Linked DNA regions of Coturnix japonica. The protein of the gene in region 1 interacts with the protein of each later gene in a biochemical or structural test. Links are inferred from orthologs where the notes say so. Each region holds a gene or a part of one and is shown in the gene's direction. Other genes may lie near its edges. The genes, in order: ABCC4, SLC9A3R1, SNTA1, ERBIN, SLC9A3R2, MPP1 and PDZK1.

Region 1 (4,061 bases):
GAAGACTTCATTGCTCTCTACAACTACCTGAAGGGAGGCTGTGGTGAGATGGAGGTCAGCCAGGTTACAGTGATAAGAGGGAATGGCCTGAAATTGTGCCAGGGGAGATTGAGGTTGGGTACTAGGAAAAAGTTCATCTCTAAAAAAGTGCTGAGTCACAGTCCCTGGAGGTGACATGTAGGTGTTGCACTGAGGGACAGGGTTAGCGGGCACGATGGTGATGGTTTGACAGCTGGACTAAATGATCTTAGTGGTCTTCTCCAACTGTAATGAATCTCTGATCCCGCGATTCAGGTGGCTTTGCTCCTGGCCCACGTGTCCTTTTGCCTCCCATAGATCCACCAGCACTGTGAGGACAGCAAATCATTTCACCAGCAGCAATTTAATAAGCACACACTGACCAGTGCAGACAGCACAAGCAGTGTCAGAGATGGCAACCACCCCGCTGCAGCCTGACAAATGTGGCTAACCCCTCATCTCGGAAACACAATACAAACTACAGCCGGCTTCAAGCCTTTCTTCGAGCCTTGTGGGGCATACAGGGGTCACCCACGGCTGACAGACGTGAGCGGAGCCGGGCCCAGGCTGTGGAACCAAGAGCTGCCCGGCAGGGCACGGCGGTCACAGAATCACAGAATGAGCCGGGTTGGAAGGGACCTCAAGGATCATGTAGTTCCAACCCCCCTGCCTGGCAGGGCCACCAAACATACATATTTACTAGATCAGGTTGCCCAGGGCCCCGTCCAACCTGGTCTTGAACACCTCCAAGGACGGGGCATCCACAACCTCCCTGGGCAGCCTGTTCCAGGGCCTAACCACTCTCTTAGTGAAGAACTTCCCCCTAACATCCAACCTAAATCTTCCCTCTTTTAACTTAAAACCATTTCCCCGTGTCCTGCTATTGTCAGCCCTTTCGAAGAGTTTACTCCCCTCCTGGGAGTAAGTTCCCTTCTTATTGTATTTGATATCGTATTGAAAGGCTGCAATGAGGTCACCCCGCAACCTTCTCTTCTCCAGGCTGAACAAACCCAACTCCCTCAGCCTGTCCTCATGGGGGAGGTGCTCCAGCCCCCTGATCATCTTCGTGGCCCTCCTCTGGACCCTTTCCATAATCTCCATGTCTTTTTTGTACTGAGGGCTCCACACCTGGGTCCCTCTCAGCCCGCTCCCGCCGGTAGCTCCGGGCCGCGGCCTGCACGCGGGGAGCCGTGCCGGCAGGAGGCGTCCTGCGGGGCGGGCTGGAGGAGGGCCGGGGCGGGAGTGCCGGCTGTCCCGGAAACAGCACCGACCGGCGGCACAGCGGCGGCGGCTGCCGCGGTGGGAAGTCGCCCGGAGTGGTGCGGTGCCGCCGGCGGGCTGGAGCGACGCGGGGCGGCGCAGAGCGGCGGGCGGCATGGAAGCGGTACCCCGCGAGGAGAAACCCAACCCGCTGCGGGATGCCAACCTCTGCTCCCGGCTCTTCTTCTGGTGAGCGCCGGGCACGCGGCCGACACGGGGAGATGCTGAGCCCCGGCCACGCGGCTCGGGGAGGGATGGGTCCGCCCGGCCGCCACTAGGCTCGGAGCGGAGGGGGCGGCTCGGGCGGACCCCGAGCGCAGGTGGTTTCAGCGGGGGCGGCCGTGGCGGAGCGGGGTCATCCGAGGTGAAGGCGGCAGCGGGCGGTAGTGCCGCCCGGGGGGAAGCCGCCTGCCGGCCGCGGCCCCGGGGCCTCCCGCGAGCACCGCCGCCCTCACGCAGCGGGCGCGGCCCCTTGGCTGTGCCGCCGCACGTGGGGTGCCGCGGGGCCGGCGGGCAGCGAGCTGCGGCTGCTCCTCGGCTCCCGGCTCCGCGCCGCCCCTCCCGGCACGTAACGGGCCGCGGGCCGGCATCTTCCGCCGCTGTCTTTAACGGCGCGGGGCTTTCCTTCCATCCCTCGGGCAGCGTCTGGAACTGAGCGCTGTGCGGAGTTCGATGGAGAAGGGGGCGGCCGGCTGAAGGCCTCAGGTGTGGCCGAGTGAAGATGGGGTGCTGCCGGCTCGCCCGGATGGCCCCTGCGGCAAAGGCGGAGCTCGTGTTAGCGGGGACCTCGACATAGCACGTGTAATATAGCAGCGACGAGTTACTTCCCGACAGTTTTATTGCTTTGAAAGGCGCTAGGAAAGGACACTCAAGGTGAAATGGAAGAGCACCAACTCGTCTGTCAGGGCAGATCCCTTTGGAAGACAGCAGGCAGTTCTCTGAGCCCACAGCACGTGTAGGAGAGGAGGGTGAGAGCATAACACTCAGTTCTGCGACACAAGTAATATTCTCTGATCCTGAAAGCCATGCTGAGCAGGTGCAGGAATCCCTATTTGAAGGTAGAGGGTTTTTATAAGTCCTGACATTCACCTGGTGTAGGGAACCTGCTTTGTTAGGGGGGTTGGACTCGATCTCTAGAGGTCCCTTCCAACCCCTACAATTCTGTGACTAATTAGTGGGCATATGGGGTGTATACTTGTGTAAGGTTTTAACACCAGGAATGCCCATGTTGGACACAGCATTGCTAGGAAACCTGGAAGCAAAGAAAAAAAAAAACAAAACACCTGTTATGAACAAATGGGAGAAATTGCCCCATATGCTGCTTGTGAGGCCTCCAGACTACTTCTCAGCAATGGGTTCAGTCTTCTAAAGCCTCTTTTCTTGCATGGGCAGCATGTGATTATCAAAGGAAAAAACAAATTTAAAAAACCCACCTGAACATATCCTTGTTATTTGCATGTCAGAAAGCATTACTATTTTCTTAGTGAAAATTGCCACTGAAATGAGTGGCAATTATACAGTGGTTTAAATGAAGTAGTAGGGGGTTCCACTTTTCTACAAGTTTGTATGGCTTTACGTAAAACCATGAAGTATTTAAACACCCTTTAGCTATAAATTGATTTTAAGGGCCACCTTTAGAAACATCCCTTTTTTCCTACAAAGCGTACAGCATCTATCAGCCTGCCGTGAGAGCACTGCTGTGGCACTGCTTCGTTTTAACTGCTGCTGCTTCTTCATGCGGGATGCTCTGAGAGTTCTCCAGCTGGAGAACTGGAAAAGCGGTGCTGGAGGAGGCGGTCCTGGGAGCTGCAGTCATGTGGTTGCAGGAGTGTGCCCGCTTTGCTCTGCTCTGAGTGCCAGGTGTTATCGTTGAGGATAGAAGGTAGGGCACAGCAGGTTGCTGTGTCCTTTTTTTTCTCCTTCTTTCCATTTTTTTGTTCTTAAAGTGCAGTTTTGCCATTGCAAGAAACCGCCCTCCTCTTTTGTTGCCAGTAGTGCAGAAGAAAAGCTGAAATTATTCTGCCTTGCGGAAACAAGATCAAACTCCCAGGGAAAGAAAAGAAGTCGTGTTTTCACTGAATTATAAAACTAGGGTAATGAGTGTGTAGGCTGAAGACATTCTTCTCCCATTGTTCAAAGCTTGTCTTCTTGCTTTTGGGGTTGTGACTTTGACAAGTACGAGCTTGATGAACATTAAACTCTCCAGCAATACATTCATGGGAAAGAGGAGCATCTAGATTGTGTGTGAATGTTGTTCTTTTATAGTGCATCCCTTCTGTAATTCTAGGCTGGATGTTATGTGAATGAACTATTTATGACAAGATTACTAAGATGGAAGTGGCTGCAAAATACTCCTGTTTTCCATAGCTCTCACTGAATTATCTATGTTACTGTAAAGTTATCAAAGCCCAAATTGTTGTTTTGGATGTCGCAGTTACTGCTTTATCTACTGACCTCCAGAGTGGCGAGTTTCCATGCTTACCAAACTTCTCATCTGTCTGATAGTTACACAGTTAGCAGCACTCAGATATATTTCTGATGTATTTCATTTATGAGATTTGTTCTGTTGCTGGCTCAGCTCGCTGGTGGGAATGAGGGCTTTGAAGGATTGATAGGAGGATTTGCTTTCTTTGTAGGAGGGCCCTGAAAGACAGTTTCATTCAGTGTTTTTGATGTTCAAACATCTGTTCAGTATGGAAAGCATTTTGAGTTTAAAATGCTTTAGACTTTATGCTTTGTGAATCTCAGACTGGCTCATTTCACATCTCTTTTTCTGCTGGGGG
Region 2 (4,229 bases), on another chromosome or scaffold:
ATTGGAAGCTTTTCTATTGTTATTTACTTCCCTTTGAGGGAAAAGCTTTTTTCTTCCCAGTCGTTCCAGACAAACCCATCACTTGGGCTGTGGATGGGGCTGAAGTGGCCCATGGCATCACACCCCGGGCACTGTGCTGTACGGGGCAGGGAGACGGGGAATATCTGGGTGTGCTGCTCCAGATGCCAAGGGCAGCTGCAGAGGGCACCACTCTGATGCACTTGGGGTCAATTGGTCACATCCATCCCCACGAGGACCCCCCTTTCCCAGAGCCCCCTTCACCCCCGCGCCCCCCTCGGGTCCCTCTTTGCAAGTGCACAGATTAAAGCTGGATATTTTCAAGGCTTTGCATCTGCCTGTTTTTCTCTGTGTGAGAAATCCCTGCCCCGGGCCCTCCACGTGGGCGGCCGTACAGCACGGCGGGGAATGGGATGTGGGGCACGCAGCGGGGGAAGAGCCCGCAGCCCCCTCCAACTCCCAGCGCTCGGGCCGCACATTTCAGACAGTCCAAAGGTGAGAGGGGAAGAATAAACACGGCCTGTTAAATTAAAACCAACCTCCTCCCCTGCTGTTCTCATGGTGCGGAGTCCAGCATTCCCCAAATAACTCCGGCTTCCCACCAATGGCATCAGCTGCCGCCTCTCGGCTCATGGCTGCGAAAAATGCCGGACATTCAGCACAAGCGGCTCTTGGCTCCGCGCTGCTTCCCACCCTCAGCCGGGCTGTGCCGGCGCTGCAGGAGCTGTGCGGAGCTGTACGGAGCTGTACGGAGCTGTGCGGGGCTGTACGGAGCTGTACGGAGCTGTACGGAGCTGTACGGGGCTGTGCGGGGCTGTACAGACCCCCCAGGACCCGTCCGCTCTGTGGGTCGCAGCTGTTGTCGGGACGGGCCGCAGCAGCAGCTCCGTGTTTCCTGTCGCTCTGGGCTCGTTTCTTATCGCAGCCCCGCGCTACAACCGCCGCTACCGGGGCCGGGGCTCGTTTCCTGAACGAGAGGAGCGCTCCCCAAAGGGCACCACCCCCCCCATCCCCTCCCGCTCTGCCTTCCCACCCGCGCTGATCTCCCATCCCGGGGCGTTTCGTAGCCCCCGTAACCGGCTCTGAATGGCGATGCTGTGTGATGATGCTGTGTGATGCTGTGTGATCCGGGTGGTCCCGTTGGGTCCCGTTGGGTCCCGTTGGGTCCCGGTGGGTCCCGGTGTGTCCCGGTGTGTCCCGTTGGGTCCCGGTGGGTCGCTCCGTCGCGTTGCGGTTCCGCTGCCCGCGCCCTCGGGGCTACATTTGCATAACCCCGCCCACTCCCTTATTTGCATAACCGGTCGTTATTTGCATAATTCCGCCTTATCGCCGTCCTGAGCCCGCCCCCTCCCTCTCTGATTGGCCGGCTCCGCCTCCAGCCCCGCCCCGCGGTATAAAAGCCGCCGCCGGTGGCGGGCGGGCGCAGAGCGTTGAGTCGCGGGTCGTAGTTCGGCCGCCATGAGCTCCGCTCCGCCGGGACCCGCCGCGCCGCGGCTGTGCTGCATGGAGAAGGGCCCCGACGGGTACGGCTTCCACCTGCACGGCGAGAAGGGCAAAGCGGGCCAGTTCATCCGCAAGGTGGAGGCGGGGTCGCCGGCCGAGCGCTCGGGGCTGCGCGCCGGGGACCGGCTGCTGGAGGTGGACGGGACGAACGTGGAGCGGGAGAGTCACCAGCAGGTGGTGGAGCGGATCCGGGCCGCGGCCGGGGCTGTTCGGCTGCTCGTGGTGCAGCCGCTGCGCGAGGAGCCGCCCGGGACACACGGCGACACCGACGGCCGCGAGCAGCGGGAGCCCCCGGCGGAGCGGGGCGGCCACGGAGACACAGTGAGTGCGGGGCGGGGCGGGGCGGGCGGCATCTGGCGCACGTAGGGCCGGCCCGGTGCCCCCGGGGCTTCGCTCCTCGCTCAGGTCTCGGCCCGTCGGGTCGCGCCCCCCCCGCTCCGTCCTTGTGCCGCAGGAGCGAAACGGGGTCAGGCGTGTGGCGAGGGGGGGGCGGGGGGAGCTTGATGGCGACGCGTGAGCACGGGGGGCTGCCCGGCCCGGCCCGGCCTCCTGCCGCCGTGTGTCCTTTGCTTTGGGTTTTGCTGTTGTTTGCTCTGCTCGCTCCGGGAGTTCTCACTTCCAGCCCCCAGCGCTGCGTCGTCACCTCCAAAGAAGAGAACAGAGCAGGTGCCGGGTCGCCCCGAGGCTTTTGGCGTTAACTGCCTCTGAAATGCAAATAGGATTTGGCGAGGGGAGGCGTCGTGCTGCGCCGGCCGCTCTTGCCCTGAACTGCCCGGCTTCAGCCGCGCCGCGGGGATGGGGAACGCGGAGCCCTTCGGGTTTCAGAATGTCCGAAGCACGTAGGAGTCAGCGGTTGCACAAACAGGGCGCTGCAGAGGGGTGAGGAATGGAGACCCGCTGACCTTTCCTGCCCGCAGCAGTTTCTAAGGGACGCTCGGGGCTGCCGCGGATAAAGCCGCTTTTTGTTTGCTCGGTGAAAACAAGTATTTGTTGTTGCGACCGAGGCGCTTCCTGGGAGGCCGTGACACAGAGCTGCGCTCCGCTCCTGCAACCCGCCCGCGGTGCCGAGCTGTTGTCCTGCAGGGCGAGGTGCTGCTGTCACCCAGCGCTGACTCTTCCCTTTGTCTAAAGCTCCCACGGGCCGCCCGTGGGCTCTGGTGGCCGCAGGGTGCACGTCGCCCCAGCTGGAGTCTCAGGGCAGGACACGCTGCGTGGGAACGAGCAGGCTGTGCTCCCACGGCATCCAACATATGGCGCAGTGCTCGCGTCCCCCCCGGCCACCGAGTCCTTCTGTGCTGCGCCCTCTGCTCCGTGAGCTGGAAGGATTCATTGGGACGCGGCTGATGGGGCCGGGGAGCGCCCTGCCCTGCACGCCTCGGTGCGCAGCTCCGTGCGGGGGTGGGACGGTTCCGTGCGGTTACCGCTGACAGCTCCTGTCGGTGTGGGAGCAGGAAGTCGGTGACGCTGCTGACACGGGCTGATCTCGGTGCAGCCCGGTGGTTTCACAACAGGTCGCCGGAAGCCGCGGGGCTGGGGCCGGTTCCCAGCCTGGGGAACCCGGAGGAGCCGCAGGACGGCGCTGGGAGCGGAGCCACCGAGCGGGGCGGGTTGTGCCCCCGGGCCGTGCCCGGCCGCCCCGTGGTGGGGATTCTCCCGGGATCGGTGCCGGCAGGAGCGCGGCGAGTCCGTGTGTGTCAGAGTCCTGTTTGCTTTGTGGGGCAGGGCTGGCCTTTATTTGCATGCAGGCTTGGAGACGCGTGTTGCCAGCGGCCGGCTGTCAGCCTTCCTGCTCTGTGCTGCTCTGTGCTGCTCCGAGCGCTTAACACCTCGGCCAGGACACGGTCCCCCTTAGCAGGGAGCATTGCCACAGCTGGATGCCACCCCAGGGGACATGATGGGCTTCAGGACGCCCGTGAGTGCACCCACCCACAGCGGGCATGGCTTTAGGGTCCTGGGGGTGGCCCCAGGTGGCAGAACACAACTTGAGCCCTGCTGGGGCTTTGCACCACATGGGACTGTCCCCGGTGTTTGTCTGTGGGTGGTGGCCCCCCGCCCCACACCGTGTTTCCGGAGGCTTCAGCTGCACGGCAGTGCTTTGATACAGCTCCTCGTGCCGGGCTTTCACTGCAGCACTGCTCCTGCTGCCCAGCGCCAGCTGTGCCCAGTGCTCACAGTGCTCAGATGCTGAATGCAGCGCTTGCTCTCCCCTGCAAAACCCATCTGAGCCCCCGGGTGCAGGTTGGGGTGTGGTGAGTGCAGCTGGGTGCATTGTGCAGGGAGAGCTGAACTGAGAAATGTATTAAATTACTTCTAGAGCCAACTGTGCTCGGGAGCAGGAGTGGGCTGCATGAAAAGCAGCTCCAGCCTGGCCCTACGTGACAGGGATGCTGCAAGAGGCTGCTTTGCATCCCCTTTGTATGGGGCCCCGGCGCGTGTGCCAGATTTCAGGACCCGTGTGAATGTGCTGGCCTGGCTGTCCTCGCAGCCCGTGTTTCTGCCGGCTGCTGGGAGCTGCCTGCAGCTTGTTGCTGCTCACGGGGCTGCAGGAGCTTCCTGTGAGCTGGGGCTGCAGATGCTGCTCATTGGGTGCTGTTACTGCGCTGGGAGCTGTGGGCACCCCGGGCGTTTTGCTGCTCCTGTGCTGTGCAGGCTGGGGTCCCTCCGACACCAGGCACTGTGTGCCCTGCTTGGAGCTGCTCCTGCAGCCA
Region 3 (4,028 bases), on another chromosome or scaffold:
GTCCCAAAGCAAAACATTTTAAAGTCAACTGGAGGAGTCGGAGACTGCACAGTTTGGGCAGACAACACCATTTCACTACATTTCCTGTATACCAGGGGATGAATCACTCGGTTAAGTACATGGTGCACATCTGAATCTCTTTTATTTCCCTGCCCATCCTCTCCAGTGCATTTGCAGCCTCTGATCTGTTTCAGCAAGGCAGGACCTGCTGCCCCATGCTCTCCTGAGGTGCTGCTGTCAGCCTTGGGGATGCCACTTCAGACCCAAACACGAGCTTTTCTTCTGTTTCAGAAGTGATTCATGTAAATTCACGCAGCTAACAGCGCTCTATAAATAGACGGGTGGGCTTTGACACAGCTCCTGTGTGTGCCAAGAGCTGAAGCTAATAATAGCAGCTCACCCACCACGTCCGGGAGCGGGGATGTTCTGCAGGGGGAGGATGGGATGGGCTCAGCCTTGTGACAGAATCACAGTGAAGATATCACCATCCCACGGGCACTGCAGCACCTCTGTGCCATGATGTGGGGCTGCACACATGGCCTTGCTGCCCAGCAGTGTGGCATGGCACAAGGTTTCCCCCTGTGTGGCACTGCTCTGCTTCCCACTGCTGCTTTGCATAGTGCTGCCAGGGCTGGGGAAGCAAACATATCACATATCCCTGGATGGTGCCATCCTGTGGCACTGGGAGCAGTGTCTCTGCTTTCTGACGTGGCTTACAATGAGAATACAGCCTTAATAATCACCTGTGCTGGAAATAGCATTGGAAAGAAAAAAGACTGCGAGTGGCAAGGGGCAAAGTGACCCCAACTGGCAGCAAAAGGACTGAACCCCCTCTGCTATGGGCACAGCAGCTCAGGGTCTGTGGGATGCACAGAGGACTGGGGGGGGGGAGGGGGGGGTGTGATGGGCGTGGGAGCATCACTGTTAGGCAAACCCAAAAAGTCACTCCAATCGAACTGCAGAATTTGGATTGAAAACTGGAATATCTGAGCTGTGCTTTGCAAGGGAAAAACCTTCAGGGTTTCCTCTGCCGCAATCTCAAGAAATTCCACAGCTGCCTCTGCGTGGGGGGAGCGCTGCTGCCTCCGTGTGGGGGTGGGGAGGGCTGCAGCCCCCTGCTCTGCAATACCCCCCCCACCTCCCCTTGTGCGTGAACGGGATTCAATTCCTTTAAGGCTGCGTTTGCAGAGCCTGGGGCTTGGGGACCTGCAGCCCCACCCCAGGGCTCTGGAGCTGCCCGAAGGGGCACAGGGGATGTACCCAGAGGTATTTTTTATCCCTCATTGCTGCCACTCGGTTGCAGGAGGAAATGCGGATCTGCCAAAGGAAACAAACACCGTTCCTGTTTTCAAGAAGCAGGACAGGGAAAGGAAAGAAAAAAAGCAAGACTGTTCTGAATGCCTCCAAAAATCCTCCCTGCTGCTGTCTGCACCCATCTTTGGGGCACCGACGTCGTCGGACGCCAGTGGGAGAGCTCTTGAGGCTGCCCCCCACCGCCCCCAAGAGCTGCCATTGCTTTTCATCATCGCAGTTTTCCTTAATAAGTCCAGAGTTCGCTTCGAGTCACTTCTGGCTCTGCCTGACAGCGCTGCTCGCTTCCACGACAGCAGTTACTCGTGTACCCCGCAGCACGCCCGAAGCTTTCGTGGCACCCGGTTCTCGGCACGGACACCGCTGCGCCCCGACGTGCCCCGCAGGGTCCCCCTGTGACACAACCGCACCGCGGTGCCCGGAGCCGGGAGGGTCCGAGTGAGGGTGTGCAGAGCTCCCCATGCCCCTCCCGGCGCTCCCCGTCCCATACTCGGGCACGGAGCCCCGCAGCGCGGCGCTGCCCCGACGGGGCGGGCGTGGGCCGGGCCGGGGGCGGTGCGCGGGGCTCGTTGCTCCGCCGGGCGGTGCGCGGGGCAGCGCGGAGCGGAGCTGCCGGAGCGGCGGGGCCGGGCCCGGCATGCGCGGAAGATGGCGGCGGGCAGGCGAGGGGCGCGCAGCGGGCTGCTGGAGCTGCGCGGTCCCGGCGGACAGTGGCTTCGCGTCCTGCTCACCCTGAGCGATGACACCCTGAGCGTCAGCCCCGCCGACGGCCCCGGGCCCGGGGAGCCTCCGCCGGCTCAGCTGAACGGAGGGGAGCAGAGCTCCGGCGTGCCCGAGGCGCTCGCCAACATCAGGCGCACGGTGCGCGTCGTCAAACAGGACGTGGGGGGGCTCGGCATCAGCATCAAAGGTGAGGGGGGGGGAGTACCAGGAGTGGGCGGCGGCGGCGGCAGGTAGGACCTACGCTGCCCTGCTGCGACCGGAGGGCTCCGCCCGCGTGTCCTTGCGTCCTGCGTGACCCCGGTGCGGTGTCCCCTCCTGGCCGCCCCAAACGCAGCGCTCTGCCCCGGTCGGGTGTCCCCCGGTGTCCCCCGCCGCCCCCACCCCCGTCCTGGGGACTTTGCGGGAACTTCGGGCCGGGAACTTCGCGAGGGGGGGTGCGGGGGGCTGCCGCTGTCTGACGTGGCCGCATTGGGCTCAGCCTTCACCGCGCTCCTTGCCGGGCGCTGCTGGGTGGGGCGGTGTGTCGGGTGCGGGTCCCCGTGAGGGGTCCGGGGTGAGCCCTCACCGCTTGTTGGGGCTGTGGGTGCTGCAGCTCGGCAGCGCTTTTGGGAGGTGCAATCCCCCCTTGTAACCAACCCCGGGCTGCGAAGCGCTGCCGGCTCTGCGGCTCTCCCAGGAAAGGAGAAACGTTACTTGCTTCAGCTAAACTTTATTTTTGCAGTGACGTAGGTGGAAACCAAGGAGCCGTGATCCAAACGGGGAGCTGCAGGCGGGCGGGCAGCACTTGGGCTGCCTTGTGCCTCTGCTGCTTTGCAGGGGGGTGACCATGTGCCATTAAACGCAGCCAAACCTTGCTGTCCCTGCAGGGGGTGGGGGCATGGAGGGACGGGTACCCCGCTGCCAGCCAGCTCCTGTCCATGGCCCGTGGGACAGAATCTAAAATGGACCTTCTGGTTAAAGCATTTCAGCTGCATCCTAACCCCAGACAGTACTTCACTTGGGGTTTCTGGTGCTTCATGCAGCCCTGCAGGGTTAGGGTTAGCATCGTTAGGGTTAGGGTTAGGATCCTTCTCCTGCAGGGTCGTGTACCGCATGGTGCTCCGGGCGGTGGTTCCCTCTCCACGCACACAGCCCAGAATGGGTGGTTGCGAGGCGTTGCTTCCAAGCTGGGCTCGGCAGCCAGCAGCAGCCCCCGCGGGGGCCTCTTGACAGCTGATAGCCGGAGGAGCCCTCAGCTCCCGGAGAGGCTCTGCAGAAATCCGAGCGGAGCAATGCTGGCGGCACAGCGGGTGCAGCCCTGGGAGGTGTCACGCTGCCGGTCCCTGCCCGTGGGAGGGGGGTAGGGGGGAGTGAGGGGGTGCCCGGCACACGCTGTCCCAGCGCTGAGCGTGGGCAGCGCCAGGCGGGGCTGCTGGCATCTCCTACAGGTTCAGAACTTAAAGTGCAAATTGATCTCCTTGAGCTGCCCGGAGGCCTTGAGAGTGTCCTGGTGGGCTGAAGAGTGGGGAGCAGCCCGAATGGAGACAGAGAGGAGTGGGGAGCAGGTAGTCCTGCGGCTGAGCTGCTGCTCTGGGGCTCTTTTGCCTCTCCAGCACTCAGCTGCTGCCCCACTGAGACCGTGGGGTCCTGAGAGCAGGGAAGGCTGCTCAGCACACACAGTTAATAATGCAAATAGTGACACAGTTTCCTGCCAGAAGTGATGGGGAGGCGGTCAGGGCGTGTGTTTGTTCAGCAAGGAAATCTGCAGCCACTCGGATGGTTTTTTGAAGCACTTAACATGTGTCTGCCATAAAGCTCTGAGGTATTTGGGCACTGTGTGGGCACTGAGCAGCCCTGTGCCCCTAATTGCTCAGTGTCCCCTCACTGCTTGGTGCCCCTTCTGCCCGCAGGTGGCCGGGAGAACAAGATGCCCATCCTCATCTCCAAGATCTTCAAGGGACTGGCAGCAGACCAGACCGAGGCACTGTATGTGGGAGATGCCATCCTGTCCGTGA
Region 4 (3,500 bases), on another chromosome or scaffold:
TTTTTTTTTGCAGATTGGAAATTGGAAGCACGTAACGGTATTGTTTTTGCATTCAAATAAGCTTGAGTTTCTCCCAGAAGAAATGGGTGACATGCAGAAATTGAAGGTCATCAACCTGAGTGACAATAGGTAATTCAAGTAAAAATCATGTAAAATGCAATAGCATTGAGTGTACTTCAGTGTAACTGATATCTGTCACCCAGATGTAAGTAGCGGCATTTTTCTGAACGTGCTGTGCTACCTTTCGTTATATCCCACAGCTTATAATCTGACTGAAATGCATGTATTTCATTTACTGTTTATCGATTTTATGAAACTGTTCCTTTGAATTAGGCATATGTTTGATGATTTAAGTAAATAGCTTCCTGTATTGCATGTAGGGGACAGAGAACAGAAGTGTCACAGTATGTGATAAAACACATGTGCTGGGCAAGAAAGAGGAAGGACATGTTTTTAATTAAAGCTGGTCAATAAAAACTGGCAAAATAGGCCTTTTTGAATTCATCAATTTGCAGAATTCAAATGTATTGGGAGAGATAAATTTAAATTCTCCCCCCTCCCTTTTTTTTTTTTTTTTAAACAAATCCAGTTCCTTTGTACTCTACCCTAAGCCTGATTTTATTCACATTTTATTCAAAAACAAAAAAACCCCACAATTTTAGTTGTGACCCTTTTTTCTTAATTTTTCTTAATTTTAGTGCACGTGTATATTGAATATACACGTATAGCAATAAAATTGCTGAGGATTCTTCTAATAAAATAAACAGTCTTGATCTTAAGTTCAGTAGCTGATTTATATACAGTGCTAATGGCTGTCTTAAAAATTGTGTTCAGGTTGTTGACATGAGATAAATTCAGTTTCCACTGTCTTTTAAGCTGCTTGCTGGAATAGGCAGGAATGCGTATCTAAAAAACAGAATGCCATTCTACTGTCAAGTTGTAGTATTGAAAAGTGTGTTTTCATGAACTTTTATTGTAATTTGCAGGCTGAAGAATTTGCCGTTTACCTTTACAAAACTGCAGCAGCTCACTGCTATGTGGCTATCGGACAATCAGGTGAAATTTTCTGGGAGAAAAATTATAAAAAATGGTTGACTTTATTCCTAATTGAATCAATATGTGATCTTTTGAATTTTGAGTGCTTTGTATGTGCATAAGTACTTCCTTGACATTTTGTCCATTCTCTCAAAATAAACAATATTGGGTTTAATATCCTTTAGAGCTTCTCTGGCAAAGCTTTTATATGAAATACAATTTAGCAGATGTTGGAATTTCTAATTTGTTATTTCTTAAAACCAGAAAGGTGGTATTTGATAATTTGTTAGTGCTTACACGCATATGGTATCGTTCTGCCATTATAGAAAATTTGGATAACCTTTTTTGTGGTAGGTTGCTTGCCTTACCTTTGAACTTCATGGCTGTCCATGTTTCAAGTTATTGAGAAGTAACTTGTGCGCTCGTGCCTTCTTTAATTCCTTTGTACTCTACCAATTTCCTGAATGGCACTAAGGCTTACAGGGATTCCAGAAATTCATGGATCTCAAGTGTGGTATAGTGGAAGATTTATAAGGAGTGGGAGTTATCAGTCTGATATCAATATTTTATATATATTTAATATATATATAATATATATATGTATATATATATATACACACACACACACATTATATATGTGTGTGTGTGTGTGTATATATATACACACACTTACATTAAATATTTTATTTATTTATTTATTTATTTGGCTGTCCATAGGTGTAAATGACAAAGTATATCTGTGCATCCCAGAACAGCTTGGTTTGAGACAGTAATAAGTCCTAGCAAAAATAGTTGCTTTTTTTTTAAATATTCAGTTTATTCTCTTGAAGTTGTTCTTTCCATTCCCAAGACAGTCGTTTACTGACATATATTAATAACTTCATTCTCTGAAAATTATTCAGAGGGTAAATGATTGAAGACTGCTCTGCCTTGCATTCTATAAGTTATGTGTAGATAATCTTTACTTTGTACATACAGATATTTTCTTAATGTGTCCTTCTTTGATTTCCTTCTTAGTCTAAACCACTTATCCCCCTTCAAAAAGAAGCTGACCCTGACACACAGAAAACTGTGCTTACAAATTACATGTTCCCCCAGCAACCAAGGACTGAGGATGGTAAGGATTTCTTTTTCAGCTTACAGCATTGTTAATTTGTTTCCTTTTCAAGCATAAATTTAAAAAACAAAAAACAAAACAAAACAAAAAAATCCACCTAAGAAAAAGAAGTAAAAGAGGAGCTTTGTTTTGTGTAATGCATGCTGTTCTTAAATGTGCCTGTTTTTTTTTCTCTAGTTATGTTTATATCTGACAATGAAAGCTTCAATCCATCTTTGTGGGAAGAACAGAGGAAACAACGTGCTCAGGTGGCATTTGAGTGTGATGAAGACAAAGATGAGAGAGAGGCACCACCTCGGGTTAGTATTTATTTTTTACCATGGTTTTTCTCTCTCTCTTTTTCCCAATTGCACACCTGACTCCCATCCTTTTTATTCCTTTGACTGTGGGTTTAGCTCTGATGAAGAAATCAAAACTTCATTTATTAGCTTACGAGCATAAAACTGGACTATTTTTTTTTCCTCATCATTAAAATGGAGCATATAATTATGAAATTGCTGGACTGGTGCTGCTTCAGGAGAGGGATAGTTGAGAAATAATGGTTAATTCTGATTTTTATTTAGATATATTATAGTTGTCATTACTCTTCCTGCTTGTTATCAACAGACAAATATGAAGCAAAAATAATTGATTTGTAATTTTGCTGGGTTTTCTAAAATTGTGTTAATCTAGGTAGACTCAAACTGCAAAATGGAGATTCTAGGTGTTGGTCTGAATGTTTTGTTTGAATCCATTGTCTATTTTAAAGCTTGGTACTTTAATTAAAGCGTTTAATTAAAATTAGATTATTACTTTTTTATAACACAGGAAGGCAATCTGAAGAGATATCCAACTCCATATCCTGATGAGCTGAAGAATATGGTCAAAACAGTCCAGACAATTGTACACAGGCTAAAGGATGAAGAGTCTACTGAAGATGTTGCCAAGGAATCAAAACGAGAAAGCCAGACAGTTTCTGTAAAAGATGTGGGGGTAAAGGTTAGGTGTAATACTATCTTCTGACTTCACTGAAACTTCCAAATGTCTAGATTGCCATTGATTCTTTTTAGTCTTCTCTCTCCTCATTAATGCTCCACATTAAAGAGCAGGGCTTACCTCTTTGTCGCCTTAAGAATCACAGAATGTCAGGGATTGGAAGAGACCTTGAAAGATCTTGTAGACCTAATCCCCCTGCTGGAGCAGGAACACCTAGACCAGGTCACACAGGAACGCCTCCAGGCGGGTTTTGAATGTCAGTGAAGAAGGAAACCCTGCAGCCCCTGTGGGCAGTCCATTCCAGTGTTCTGTACCCTCACTGTGAAGAAGTCTGCAATAGTTACCTGCTTTGTAGTAGAGATTTCCCTCTTAA
Region 5 (3,500 bases), on another chromosome or scaffold:
TATGTGAGCAATGCAAATTAGGCAGGAGTGATCCTGCCTGTGTTTTCTCCAACTCCACTGAAGGAGAGGTGGAAAAGCTGGATGTGTCATGGGGAAATCTGCACTTGGAGGGTATCCAGCTCCTGTAGCAGTGGATGGTTTGACTGCATCAGATAAAAAGAGCTTGTGGTCATGAGGCTGGGGGCTTGTGCTAAGGCCCCCTGGCACTGAGGAGCTCCATCATTTTTGTCCCTTTCCAGGGGAGTGATACAAGTGTGCTCCATCCTCATTCTGGATCCATCATCCATGCTGGATCCAATGCTGTGTTTCTGGGATAACCCCTATAGTGTGGATTCTTAAGGGGTTTTAGCCTTTAGTGTTCACCTACAAAGTGTGGGTGGCTGGAGGGTGATGCTAAACCAGTATTCAATTCTGAGCATCCCGGCAGGGTGAGCCCCATTGCATGAAGACATGATGAGTTCTGGGAGTTCCGTGGGGGCAGATGGGCTTTGTTGCAGGGTGGGATGCTTCTCCCACAGCCCCCGGTCCAAACTTGGGGATGGTGGTGTTGGAAACCTCAGGTGTTGCAATGAGATCATGAGAACTGGCAACGTCTAAACAGATTTATTTATTTATTTAATTTTCCCCTTTTTAATTGGAAGTGTTTCATTGTTACTTAATGTCTTGTTTGTGCCTTTTTAATGCACGGCTTCCTTCTGGTATGGTGGAGTTGTGCCTGGAGCTGTGGCACTGCAGCTTTGTGTTGGTGCAGCTCTTATCTGCACAGACACATCTGTACCAGTGGGTGTGTGCACAGAGCAGCAATATAGGGCAAATGTGACATCCATGGCTTTTTAATCCCATGTATGAGATCAGTGGGTGCTGTAGCATCTGGATGCCCCCAAAGAAGATTGCTGATTGCGTGCGAAGAGAGAAATACAAGGTCATTTTTTGTTGGCTTTGCAGCGTGTGAGTGCAGCTATGGGAAGGAATGGAGTGTCTGTGGGTCTTTGAGGTCAGGTGGGATCTGGAGGAGTGTGGTTGGGGTGCCCCAAAGGCAGAACACCCCTGGGAGCTCAGGAAACTTCTTCCTAGCACATGACAGGGAAATGTTGGCACAGGTTGTGAAGTGAATGAATAGCAGAGCTGGCAGGAGGAATAGAGTGCATCGGTGCAGAGGGCTTCATCATGTGCTTGAGGCTGAGCAGAGGGTTTGCTCAGTCCCAGAGGAGTTTGTTGGAGCCCTATGTGTTCCAGAAGCTGAAGACAGCCGCTGCTGGGAGCACTGGGAGCAGTGGCAGCACTCAGACAGGTCTTTCTGGGGAGCTCTGGAGCTGATGCTGGGGCTGAAACGAGAACGATTTTGAATCATCTCAGTGGTGGATCTTGGCTTCAGGATGTGGTGGTGGGAGCAGAGCATACCCACACAGGGCACAGTGCTGGGTACCCCACAAAGCTGCTGCAGAAGTCCTCTCCCAAGCAGTTTCTGTGCAGTTTATTTTAGGGATGATGCTGGTAGAGCCTTAAGTCCTGCTTGTTGGTACTGTGCTCATTTGGTGACTGGTGCTTTGGAACCACTGCTGGAGCCGTGAATGCTTAAAACTGGAGTAAAATGGCCCATAAAGGTTATTTCTAAGCCCCACTAGGTGATTCTGGATGTGTTCCTTTCTGCAGCCCCTGTTCCCAGCACTTACAGCCCTGTGCATCCCTTGAGGTCGCACCGAGCCCGCTCCAGCATTGAATCATTTCCTGTTTTCCTCGGCTGTCGCAGAGCTGGAAGTGTTTGCAGATGGGGTGAACCCACAGCGCGGGGGCATGGGAACGCAGGGCTGAGCCTGCAGTGAGCCCCGAGCACTGCACACTGTGTGTGCTGTATGGGGGCTTTTCCTCTGGGGAAAATGAGCATGGAGGGGTCACTGCTGAGTGGATTTATAGGGGTAAAGGGAGCCCTGTGTGTTTCTTGGGTAGAAGTACCCAAAGGAGATCCCCATCCACTTCTACCAGTTGCCTTTAGCTGGGGGATGGGGATTCATTACCAGCATTTTTTTTTGTTTTGGTTGGGAACATTGGGGAAATTCTCACATGTTTTTATTATTTTAAATGTAAGGTTGTAAGAGATCGTCCTACTGATAGATAGATACCTGAGGTCTGATAGCAGGTGGGAGCAGTGTTGCTTTCAATGCAGATTCAAAACTCAGCTGCAGGAAATGTTTTCCTTAAACCATAGACCCCCTAAAAAAGCCCCGAAGGCACTTCTGTTTCTTAGCAGCTCCTGCCCAGGACATGGCTGTGCCACTGTGCCTGGTGCACGAGAACAGCAGTGGGATAAAACCTGCTGTGTGCTGCTTCCTGTTAGCCCCAAGGAACCATAAAACATTTTGCACGTGATAGAGGTGAAGCACCAAAGCCCTCACGTGCTCTGCTAATATTTGCAGCGAGCTCAGCCTGGACGTGCTGTGGGCACCTTGGGCAGCACCATGTGCAGGGTTGATGCTTCCTCTCTGCAAAGACTTCTGTAGGGCTTTCCCACTCTGCCCAGATCAATGTTTCCATAGGCTCACTGCTAAGTGACTGCAGAGCAGCTGTGCCACATGGCTCCAGGTGGGCACACAGATGATCCCTCTCTGCCCTGTTGGCTCAGTACTCCCAGTTCTGCATGATCATTTTTGAGCTGGTTGCAGGACAGGGCTGCCCATCCCCTGGTGCCATCCCCAGAGTGGCCAAAGATGCAGCTCCAGATCTGGGCATCACCCAGCTTGCTCAGAACATCCCTGCAGGGAGGGATGAGTAGCAAGGTGAGGATGAAGCCTTGAGCCGTGTTGGAGTCACTGGGAGCCAGGCACGGTGCTAACATCAATCAGTGCTGGGAGTTAAGGTGGTGGTGGTGGGGGGGGGGGTGGGTGGGTCTGGGCTGCTGTTGGCTGAGGAAATGCATTTTTTGTTGTTGTTGTTTCAATTTCTCTGGAGTGGTTTTGGACAATCAGTTTTCTAAAATAAACTCAATGAGAGGAAATCCATTTGTTAACCTGTCCCCATTGAGCTGGAAGGAGGGGATGGTGTGCAGATATGTTGCTTCCTTCTCAACTTAATTCTGATTCAGAACAAAACCAAGCCGATAAATCAAACACAATATCTTATCCTCTCCCCCCGCGTAACCACCCCCCATCATCTTTCTTTTTTAAATCAGGATTTAAATGGACAGAAAGAGCTGTGTCCGCGCCTCTGCCACCTGAAGAAAGGTCCCAATGGTTATGGCTTCAACCTGCACAGTGAGAAGTCCCGCCCAGGGCAGTTCATCCGCTCGGTTGACCCTGACTCACCAGCATCCAGAGCAGGTCTGCGGCCCCAGGACCGCCTGGTGGAGGTAACAGCACATGCAGCATGGAGCTTTGGGGCTCTTTTGTTGCATTTTTGGGTCCTACCAACATGAATCCTCCTGGAAATGAGGAGCTGGAGTGCAGAAGGGATGTGATGCTCAGCTGGGAAGCGTGATGCTGAATCCAGGCCCAGTCCTGTGCCCT
Region 6 (3,943 bases), on another chromosome or scaffold:
CAAATCCAGGGAAAAAAATGCATTGGTATCACTGGTGTTTCTCTGCTCCCTTCCTCACAAAGACACGTCTCTTCTCAGGCACCCGTCGGTCCTGGCTGGTGGACTACCTGGGTGACACGTGGTCTCACTTCTATGAGAACTTCCCCATCGCTGTCCTGTACGTCTTCCCCATCACTGTGCTGCTCCTGCTGCTGCTCTGCTGCCTCACGTACGTGTGTGCACGTTGCACACCCCCCGCTGCTCCCATTCTAAAGGAGCTGTGTTTGCTGGGTTGCAGCTCTGCAGTGCCCACTGTCCCAGCACAAGGCAGCAGGGAGGAGGTGCACCCTGTGCTCTTTGTGTTTTGTAGGGTAGCAATGGATTGAGGTGAGCTGGGGAGCTCTGAGAGAGGCAGAGTGGCTATGCTGGAAGAAATTCTGGTGCCTTGATGGAGCACAGCTCCAAGAAGCCTCCAAAACTCCAGGGACCCCGAAGCGGTGTGGAAGGGCCTGGAGCAGAACCACCTTTCTCTTCCTTTCAGATGATTTTCAGGATTCTCTCAGATGGAATTTCACACCCCCAAAATGAAGTTCAGACTTCACTTGAGGCTCTGCTGTCTGAGTTATAGCCAGAACGCGAGAGGTTCAGTGGGCTTCATAGCGAGTTGTATGGCGAGGGGTGGGAGGGAGGTTGGTGGTGCAGCTGGGATGGCAGCAGTGTTTGATGCTTTGTTAGGGTGTCATCATTGTATCACTGAATCACAGAACTGTAGGGGCTGGATCTCTAGAGCTCATTGAGTCCAACCCCCCCTGCAAAGCAGGCTAATGCACCCCAGGACCCCATCGGCCCTCTTGGCCAGCAGGGCACACGAACCACACGTTATGTATGTGGTAGGAGGAGCAGGGGGAAGGTGTAATTGTTAAGTACAGGAGGCAAAGGACAGCACCGCGCTTTTGGGTGACCCCCTGTTTGGTAAGCTGATAACGAGTCACCCGGGGCAGAACCCACAGCCCAGCGCCTCTCGGGGCGGCCAAGCAGGTCAGACCAGCAGCCCCAACGCCCCCGCGCTGTGGGCGGCCCATTCCCAATCCCGGCCTGCCGCCGCGGCCCTGCACGGCCCCGTTGCCCCGCCCGTGGCGGCGCCTCCAGCCCGTGCTCGTCCCGCCCCGTGCCGGGCGGAGCGTGCGGCACCCGGGGCGCTGCTGGAGCCGGACTGGTGCGGCGGGGCCGGGCCGCTCTGCTGGAGCCAACGGAACCGGCTGCGGCTGCTGGCGGCGCGCTGGGCCGGGGGGATGACGCTCAAATCGGGCCGCGGAGGCGGCGGTGGAAGCGGCAGCATGAGGACAGCGCTGTCCGACCTCTACCTGGAGCACCTGCTGCAGAACCGGGCCAAGCCCGAGGTGAGCCCCGAGCGCACGGGGAACACGACGAGGCCACGCGTCCCCCCGGTCGGCACCGATGCCGCGGAGAGCCCGGCCTGCCCGGGAACCGGCTGAGCGGGGCTGGGGGCGGGGAGCGAGCTCAGCATCCTGCCCGTGAGCTTGTTTTGCTGCGAAGTTGTATCTGGTCTGAGCTGGGAGCGGGAGGGGTCCGGGAGTGCGGCAGAAACACCGGGCCGGGCAGCACGGGGTCATTCCCCGCTGCTGTCAGCTGGGGTGAAGGGAGGAGGGCAGAGCAGCAGCCCGTGGCTGAGCCGTACTGTCTGCCGGGGGAAGGGGTTTCCTTGCTGCCTCTGAGGGAGATTCCCACCAAGCAGTGCTGCTTTCAGCCCATCAGGGCATCCAAGGGATGTTTGTCCGGTCTGGCCTGCGCTGGTGGTTTGTTTGCGTGCTTTTTATGGCTCAGCGCTGGCAGAGTGCTGCAAAAAATAAATAGAAGAAGCATTTGGAGCAAGCGCTGCTGAGAGGAGCTCTGCATCCATCCCTGTGCATGCCTGGAGCAGGGATACATCAATCCCCCAAGCAGTGCGGTGTGGAGAGCACAGGAGCTGGCCTGCAGCTGCCCACTACCACGATACCCCTGTTCCAGTTGGGGTATAGGGGAAGGTGACCAGCTGGGGTTTGCATGGGAGCTGTTAGGAGGTGATGTGTAGGGCTGGCATCCAGCTGGGTTGCGTGTCTGTGTGTGTGTGCTGATTCCTGGTGGCAGGGACGTGGCAGCAGTTCTCAGGGCTCTGGGTCAGGCTGGCTGCTTCTCAGCTCAAATCATACAGAGGTTCCTCTTCCTGCTGCTCTCGATACAGCAGGGATCCCAAACCCTCATGACTGGAAGGCAGAGTCATGGCTAGAAAACAAGCAGAAGTGCAGGAGGCTGCAGCCCTCTTCCCTTCAGCCACGTGCCTGCCTGGCTTTTCTTTATCTATTAATGGCAAATAGAGATTTGACAGGGAGATGTGGGCTTTGCACCCAGCGGTGCTGCTGGCTTGCAGGGTGACCTTGGGCATGGCACCTAATCTGCTGTGACTCAGTTCTCCAGCTGTAAAATGGGCAGCGGGTCTGTTGGTTGGAAGGAAGGCCCTGCTCAGAGCTGGGGGTGCAGAGGGGACGGCGTGTGACCCCATGGCAGCATCACATGGCATCAAACCTCTGCCATTTCCAGCTGTGGTCCCTCTTCTGAAATGACCGTGGGTGAAAATAGCGGTTGGGAGCTGAGCAAAACTCCTCCTGGGTTTGACCAAAATAAATGATGGGGGTGTAGGGCTGGCTTCGGCTCTTTAATTCATGAATGCAGTTTGTGCTGTTCCGGGCTGTGTGGCTGCAGGGAAAACGCCACGTAGAAGGTAGGGAATGGAGTGGCTGTGCTGCTTCTCAAAGCCCCATCCATTTCCTGACTGTCCCTCGGAGGTGGCAGGTTTCATTAACACATCTGGAGGGCTGCATTGGCCTTCCATGTTAGGAGAGCTGTGTCTCAGCAAAACTGATGGGGCTGCTTGGGAACGTGGCCCTTCTCTATCACAGCACTCAGTGAGCTGCAGTGAGGGCAGCATCTTCTGCCCCCCCCCAGCCACTTGTGTTCTTCCTGCTCCTCCGTTCCCCATCCCCTGTGACCTGTTGATGTAGCTGTGCCTTTTCCTAGTTTCAGTAGCATAATTTTGTTTGATTTAAGTGTTTGTTTTCTTTTTAAAATGGATGGTTTTACTGGAATAGGTCTTGAGTGAGGTCTGCTCCAGGCTGACCTGAAAGGGCAGCAGCCTCAAACCAGAATGAATTACTACTAAATGACCACATGCCCACTGCTCCTCGCGTTTTTTATTTGCTAGTCTGCTTTTGTTTGTTGCTGTGTTTTTTAGGCACCCCAGTGCATGCGTTTGCTGCTCAGTGGTAATGCTCTCAGGTAGGTCGAGAAGCTGCTGAGCCAGCGCCAAGCAGAGCAGATCCAGGTTGAGCCACTCCAGGGCAGGGACGTGCCCAAGGCTCGTGTCCTGGCCTTGCCTGCACACCCACAGTGATTATGCCCAGATGAGAGGTGATGGTGCTGGAAGGAGCTGGAGTTTTGCTGTTTGCCATAGCTGGGGCTGCTCTGCCCTCCTGCCTCTCTCTGTGCTGCTGTGCTTTGAAGGCCCAACCAGCAAACCTTTCTGCATGTGCTCTCCATGTGCTCTTCATGAGACCACCTGATACCGACATCCCCTGGTGAGGAGAGCAAGGAGAGCCCAGGAGGCAAGCCTCCAAGTGTGCCCTTTGCACCAGGGTGCTGCTTCCCTGAAGTGCTGCTTCACCCTCCTCTAAATGAGGGTTAATGTTTGATTTCCAACCTTCTGACCCAAGTCATTCCATGGTTCCCCCAGCGGTGTGCAGCCCAGCCCAGCAGCAGGAGCAACCCAGGAGGGTGACACTGACCCTGCCCAGGGTTCTCATCAAGGGTTGCTTCCCTCTCACCTCATTCCCTGCTGGCACGCATGGCCCTGAGGCCTGGTGTCCTCTCCTCACCCTTGTGCCTCTTGCAGAAGAGGAAGATGGTGGGC
Region 7 (3,227 bases), about 49 Mb from region 1:
AAGAAACCTACAGATTTCACAACAGGTTTTATATTAAAGTTTTCTCTGTCATTGTTCTTTCAGGCTCAAATTTCCCCCTTTTCATATTACTACAAAGTGCAAGACCCAGCTCCAGCAAAAACAGAGGAAAGAGTGGAGCTGCACACTGAGCAGAAAGTGAACCATAAGCCAAGAGTCTGCAAGATGGTAAAAGGGCCGAGTGGATTTGGCTTCAGTTTAAACATGGTCAAGAACAAACCTGGACTATTCATTAACGAGGTACTAAATGTAAGATAATCAACAATGAAAAGCTTGACTAGTACGTTGGGCAGCCTTCCCCCTTCCAACCTGTAAATGCACTTAAGGAAAAGCACAGGAAAAGACAAATCTCTTCTCCAGCTGTTTTAGATAAGTTATAATTGTCAGAAGTAGTCAGACTGATATTGTAGGACCAATATTAAACAGCAGAAAACCACATTCCTCTTATTCTACTAGATATCTAAAAGGAAAGGAAATCCAAATTTTGTCTCATGTTTTATTTATAATGTAAAAAAAAATAGTATTTTAAGAAGAGATTTTTGAACTATAGAGTACCCTGGAAATGTTAAGAGAACTTTCCCTTCCCCTTCTCAGAATTTCACAGCTGGCAAGAGTGAATCTTCTGTTATCTCAAATTACATCTGTGCCTTTTGTTTTCTTGAAGGGAGGGGTTTCACACATCACTAAAGAATACATCAGTGTAGTCAAGTTAAATTTAAGTTACACCATCCAGGCCTATTATCTCTCCCAGTTCAATTCTGCCCCCAAAATCTCCCTACCATGCTTATTTTGGCAAGCTAATGAACCATCAGTTGCTAATCCATCTTTTCAACGTTATGCTAATATCATCATTTGAACTTGACTTTGCAGGTACAAAAACACGGACCAGCTGATATAGCCGGGGTAGAAAATAATGATGTTTTGGTGGAAGTGAATGGGGTGAACGTGATGAATGAGCCCTATGACAATGTCGTGGCAAGAATCAAAGAGAGTGGTGATAAAGTAACGCTACTGGTGTGCAGTAAAGATGCTTACAAATACTTCCAGGACCAGAACATTCCCATCACAGACTCTATGGCAGATCCATCCCATGACACTTCTGAACCTCCTGCTTATACAGAAACCTCAATAGCAGAGTCAGAGAGAACCTCACCTGAACCAAGAGAAAGGGTAAGTATTACTGTATTAAACAAATGCCGAGGGATCACTGAGGAGATAACAAAAGAACTTCCTGTAACTGCAGCATGTAACTGAGCTAGGATCTTTAGGATCTTCAATTTTTACAAGTCAGTCCAAGTTATCAATAAGGAAGCTGTGATGTGATTACTGTAAATAACTCTTTTTTTCCCCAGGCATAACGCAGGTGAATATCTTTAATGCACAATCAAATTACTGAAAGAACACACCAGAGACTTTCAGGAGCAAGGCAATCTACACACTGCAATCCCCAATGAGGCAATACTGTCCTTTAAGCACAAAGAAATAGTCCTTAAATAAACAAAAAAGAATAACTTGCCTTCCTATTTTTCATGACCCTATTTGCAAATATCCAGCTGCCAGGCTTTTTCAAAAGTCGTGTCAGAAGATTAGCACCGCTTTTGTGTGCAAGTTCACCAGATATGGGAATTAAACAATAGGAAACTTCTATTAAACAAATTTCTCTCTAAAATGTAGCTAACGAGAAAGCACTTCAGTGACAAAAGTCACATTTACTGGCTCATTATGCCATCCAAACAAGTATATCATTAGGGCAGATTAAAGCATGAGTCCTTCATAACACTGCAGACTAGCATGTTTACACACTGAAAATAACCAGATTGTATTTGTTACTCCTCTGCAGGCAAGCTCATCTTCCTCTTCACAATCAGCTGCCTCAGCAGGAGCAGACAGTGACAGCAGCGACGACACAAGGTTCTGAGAAGACCATCCATGCCGAGAACAAAAAAGAAACCTTCCAAATTCTCTTTCTTCAATCACACTTTGCACTGCGACTCCAGGACTTGACTATTCCCATGACTATCAAACCTGTAAGGGACTGTGATGTCACGCTGAAATGCAGCTGCCTGAAATAAGCACTTCAGGGTATCCTGCAGTTACTTAACACACTGCAATTGTACTTCATTCACTGTACAAGGCTTTCTGCCTTGTAAAGTGGGGAGTAAGCCACTTACTACTATAAAGGCTTCAATAATTAGAGGTACATAGTTAAGTATATTGCAACAAAGGGAGGAAACAGTTCATAAATTCCTATGTATTTGAGCCTTTTAAGGGTAAGCATTTAATAAAGACCAACTGATTTCTCACCATCTCCCAGGAGAGGCAGTTCTCCTAATACAAACCCATTAAAACAATCCTGGAGGTGATGATCTGTGCTGTATTTATGGCAGTGCAATTACTATGATATGTCATAAACTAATATACTCTGTGCAATACACTCCTTTCTTCTACTTACACTGCAGAAATTTCTTTCAAACATTAAGTTAACTTCATAATTCATAACTCGAAACCTAAAGCCTTTAAGCACTGTTTTCTCTCCTCTGCCTACATCTGTGGATCATAGTGTTTAGAAGTGTAATTCAATCATGCAGGTTTGTCTAATTCCAAGTCAACACTACATTGTCTTAGATGTGATATAAATGGCTATACAATATTGCTATTGTATGCTTTGTCTCCTTCCTGTACACCAAAGACAATACAGAATTAAATTGTTTTCAGTGGTTATTTCTTTTTCCCCCAGGTCCTAGCCTTACCACCTATGATTTATGTTCCAGAACAACCTTGTAGCAAACAAAGCCTGGGAGTGTGTCTATGGGAAGCTACAAGTTCAAGTCACATGAATAAAATATACTTTTATGCCTTGAATGACATCAGAAAGGGGAAACAGGCTACTGTGAAAGAATATACAGGTTGAGGGGAACACCAGATTTATAGTATATAAGGTCAACACATTTATAACACGTAAGGTAAACAAGGCATAGCTGTTATCTTTGACTTCATGCCGAACTCCAGCAAACAGGAATCCAAAGCCTTAGTTCTGTTTACATACAAAACAAAGCTGAAGTTCAGCAAGACACAGCTAAGTTCCAGCTCAAAAGGACAGTGAGTATTAGTGGTATCTTTTCAACTTCACTCCAGGTAGTAAATTCCAGCCACTTTCTAGCTCACCTGCAAACAAATATTTTGAGCTGACAAAAAACAACTGTGATGCT

The links.
Region 2: the proteins of ABCC4 (region 1) and SLC9A3R1 form a complex in vitro, tested with the Homo sapiens proteins (3 studies listed by BioGRID and IntAct, with this or other methods). The link is inferred for Coturnix japonica from reciprocal best matches to the Homo sapiens genes ABCC4 and NHERF1.
Region 3: the proteins of ABCC4 (region 1) and SNTA1 form a complex in vitro, tested with the Homo sapiens proteins (2 studies listed by BioGRID and IntAct, with this or other methods). The link is inferred for Coturnix japonica from reciprocal best matches to the Homo sapiens genes ABCC4 and SNTA1.
Region 4: the proteins of ABCC4 (region 1) and ERBIN interact in a test that uses a peptide from one of them, tested with the Homo sapiens proteins (2 studies listed by BioGRID and IntAct). The link is inferred for Coturnix japonica from reciprocal best matches to the Homo sapiens genes ABCC4 and ERBIN.
Region 5: the proteins of ABCC4 (region 1) and SLC9A3R2 form a complex in vitro, tested with the Homo sapiens proteins (2 studies listed by BioGRID and IntAct, with this or other methods). The link is inferred for Coturnix japonica from reciprocal best matches to the Homo sapiens genes ABCC4 and NHERF2.
Region 6: the proteins of ABCC4 (region 1) and MPP1 form a complex in vitro, tested with the Homo sapiens proteins (2 studies listed by BioGRID and IntAct, with this or other methods). The link is inferred for Coturnix japonica from reciprocal best matches to the Homo sapiens genes ABCC4 and MPP1.
Region 7: the proteins of ABCC4 (region 1) and PDZK1 form a complex in vitro, tested with the Homo sapiens proteins (2 studies listed by BioGRID and IntAct, with this or other methods). The link is inferred for Coturnix japonica from reciprocal best matches to the Homo sapiens genes ABCC4 and PDZK1.

The regions. Positions count from the first base shown.
Region 1 is NC_029516.1:131,509,672-131,513,732, forward strand, and holds the start of ABCC4 (multidrug resistance-associated protein 4), read left to right. Parts: upstream 1-1,261; 5' UTR 1,262-1,393; coding exon 1,394-1,467; intron 1,468-4,061. UniProt on the Homo sapiens protein: ATP-dependent transporter of the ATP-binding cassette (ABC) family that actively extrudes physiological compounds and xenobiotics from cells.
Region 2 is NC_029533.1:9,145,246-9,149,474, forward strand, and holds the start of SLC9A3R1 (Na(+)/H(+) exchange regulatory cofactor NHE-RF1), read left to right. Parts: upstream 1-1,429; 5' UTR 1,430-1,476; coding exon 1,477-1,842; intron 1,843-4,229. UniProt on the Homo sapiens protein: Scaffold protein that connects plasma membrane proteins with members of the ezrin/moesin/radixin family and thereby helps to link them to the actin cytoskeleton and to regulate their surface expression. Necessary for recycling of internalized ADRB2.
Region 3 is NC_029535.1:2,063,256-2,067,283, forward strand, and holds the start of SNTA1 (alpha-1-syntrophin), read left to right. Parts: upstream 1-1,228; 5' UTR 1,229-1,959; coding exon 1,960-2,221; intron 2,222-3,923; coding exon 3,924-4,028. UniProt on the Homo sapiens protein: Adapter protein that binds to and probably organizes the subcellular localization of a variety of membrane proteins. May link various receptors to the actin cytoskeleton and the extracellular matrix via the dystrophin glycoprotein complex.
Region 4 is NC_029547.1:14,171,919-14,175,418, reverse strand, and holds part of ERBIN (erbin), read left to right. Parts: intron 1-13; coding exon 14-129; intron 130-986; coding exon 987-1,056; intron 1,057-2,052; coding exon 2,053-2,152; intron 2,153-2,329; coding exon 2,330-2,451; intron 2,452-2,959; coding exon 2,960-3,130; intron 3,131-3,500. UniProt on the Homo sapiens protein: Acts as an adapter for the receptor ERBB2, in epithelia. By binding the unphosphorylated 'Tyr-1248' of receptor ERBB2, it may contribute to stabilize this unphosphorylated state.
Region 5 is NC_029529.1:6,206,138-6,209,637, forward strand, and holds part of SLC9A3R2 (Na(+)/H(+) exchange regulatory cofactor NHE-RF2), read left to right. Parts: intron 1-3,166; coding exon 3,167-3,343; intron 3,344-3,500.
Region 6 is NC_029519.1:2,088,369-2,092,311, reverse strand, and holds the start of MPP1 (55 kDa erythrocyte membrane protein), read left to right. Parts: upstream 1-1,143; 5' UTR 1,144-1,271; coding exon 1,272-1,379; intron 1,380-3,943. UniProt on the Homo sapiens protein: Essential regulator of neutrophil polarity. Regulates neutrophil polarization by regulating AKT1 phosphorylation through a mechanism that is independent of PIK3CG activity.
Region 7 is NC_029516.1:83,000,284-83,003,510, reverse strand, and holds the end of PDZK1 (Na(+)/H(+) exchange regulatory cofactor NHE-RF3), read left to right. Parts: intron 1-63; coding exon 64-267; intron 268-888; coding exon 889-1,188; intron 1,189-1,858; coding exon 1,859-1,936; 3' UTR 1,937-2,727; downstream 2,728-3,227. UniProt on the Homo sapiens protein: A scaffold protein that connects plasma membrane proteins and regulatory components, regulating their surface expression in epithelial cells apical domains.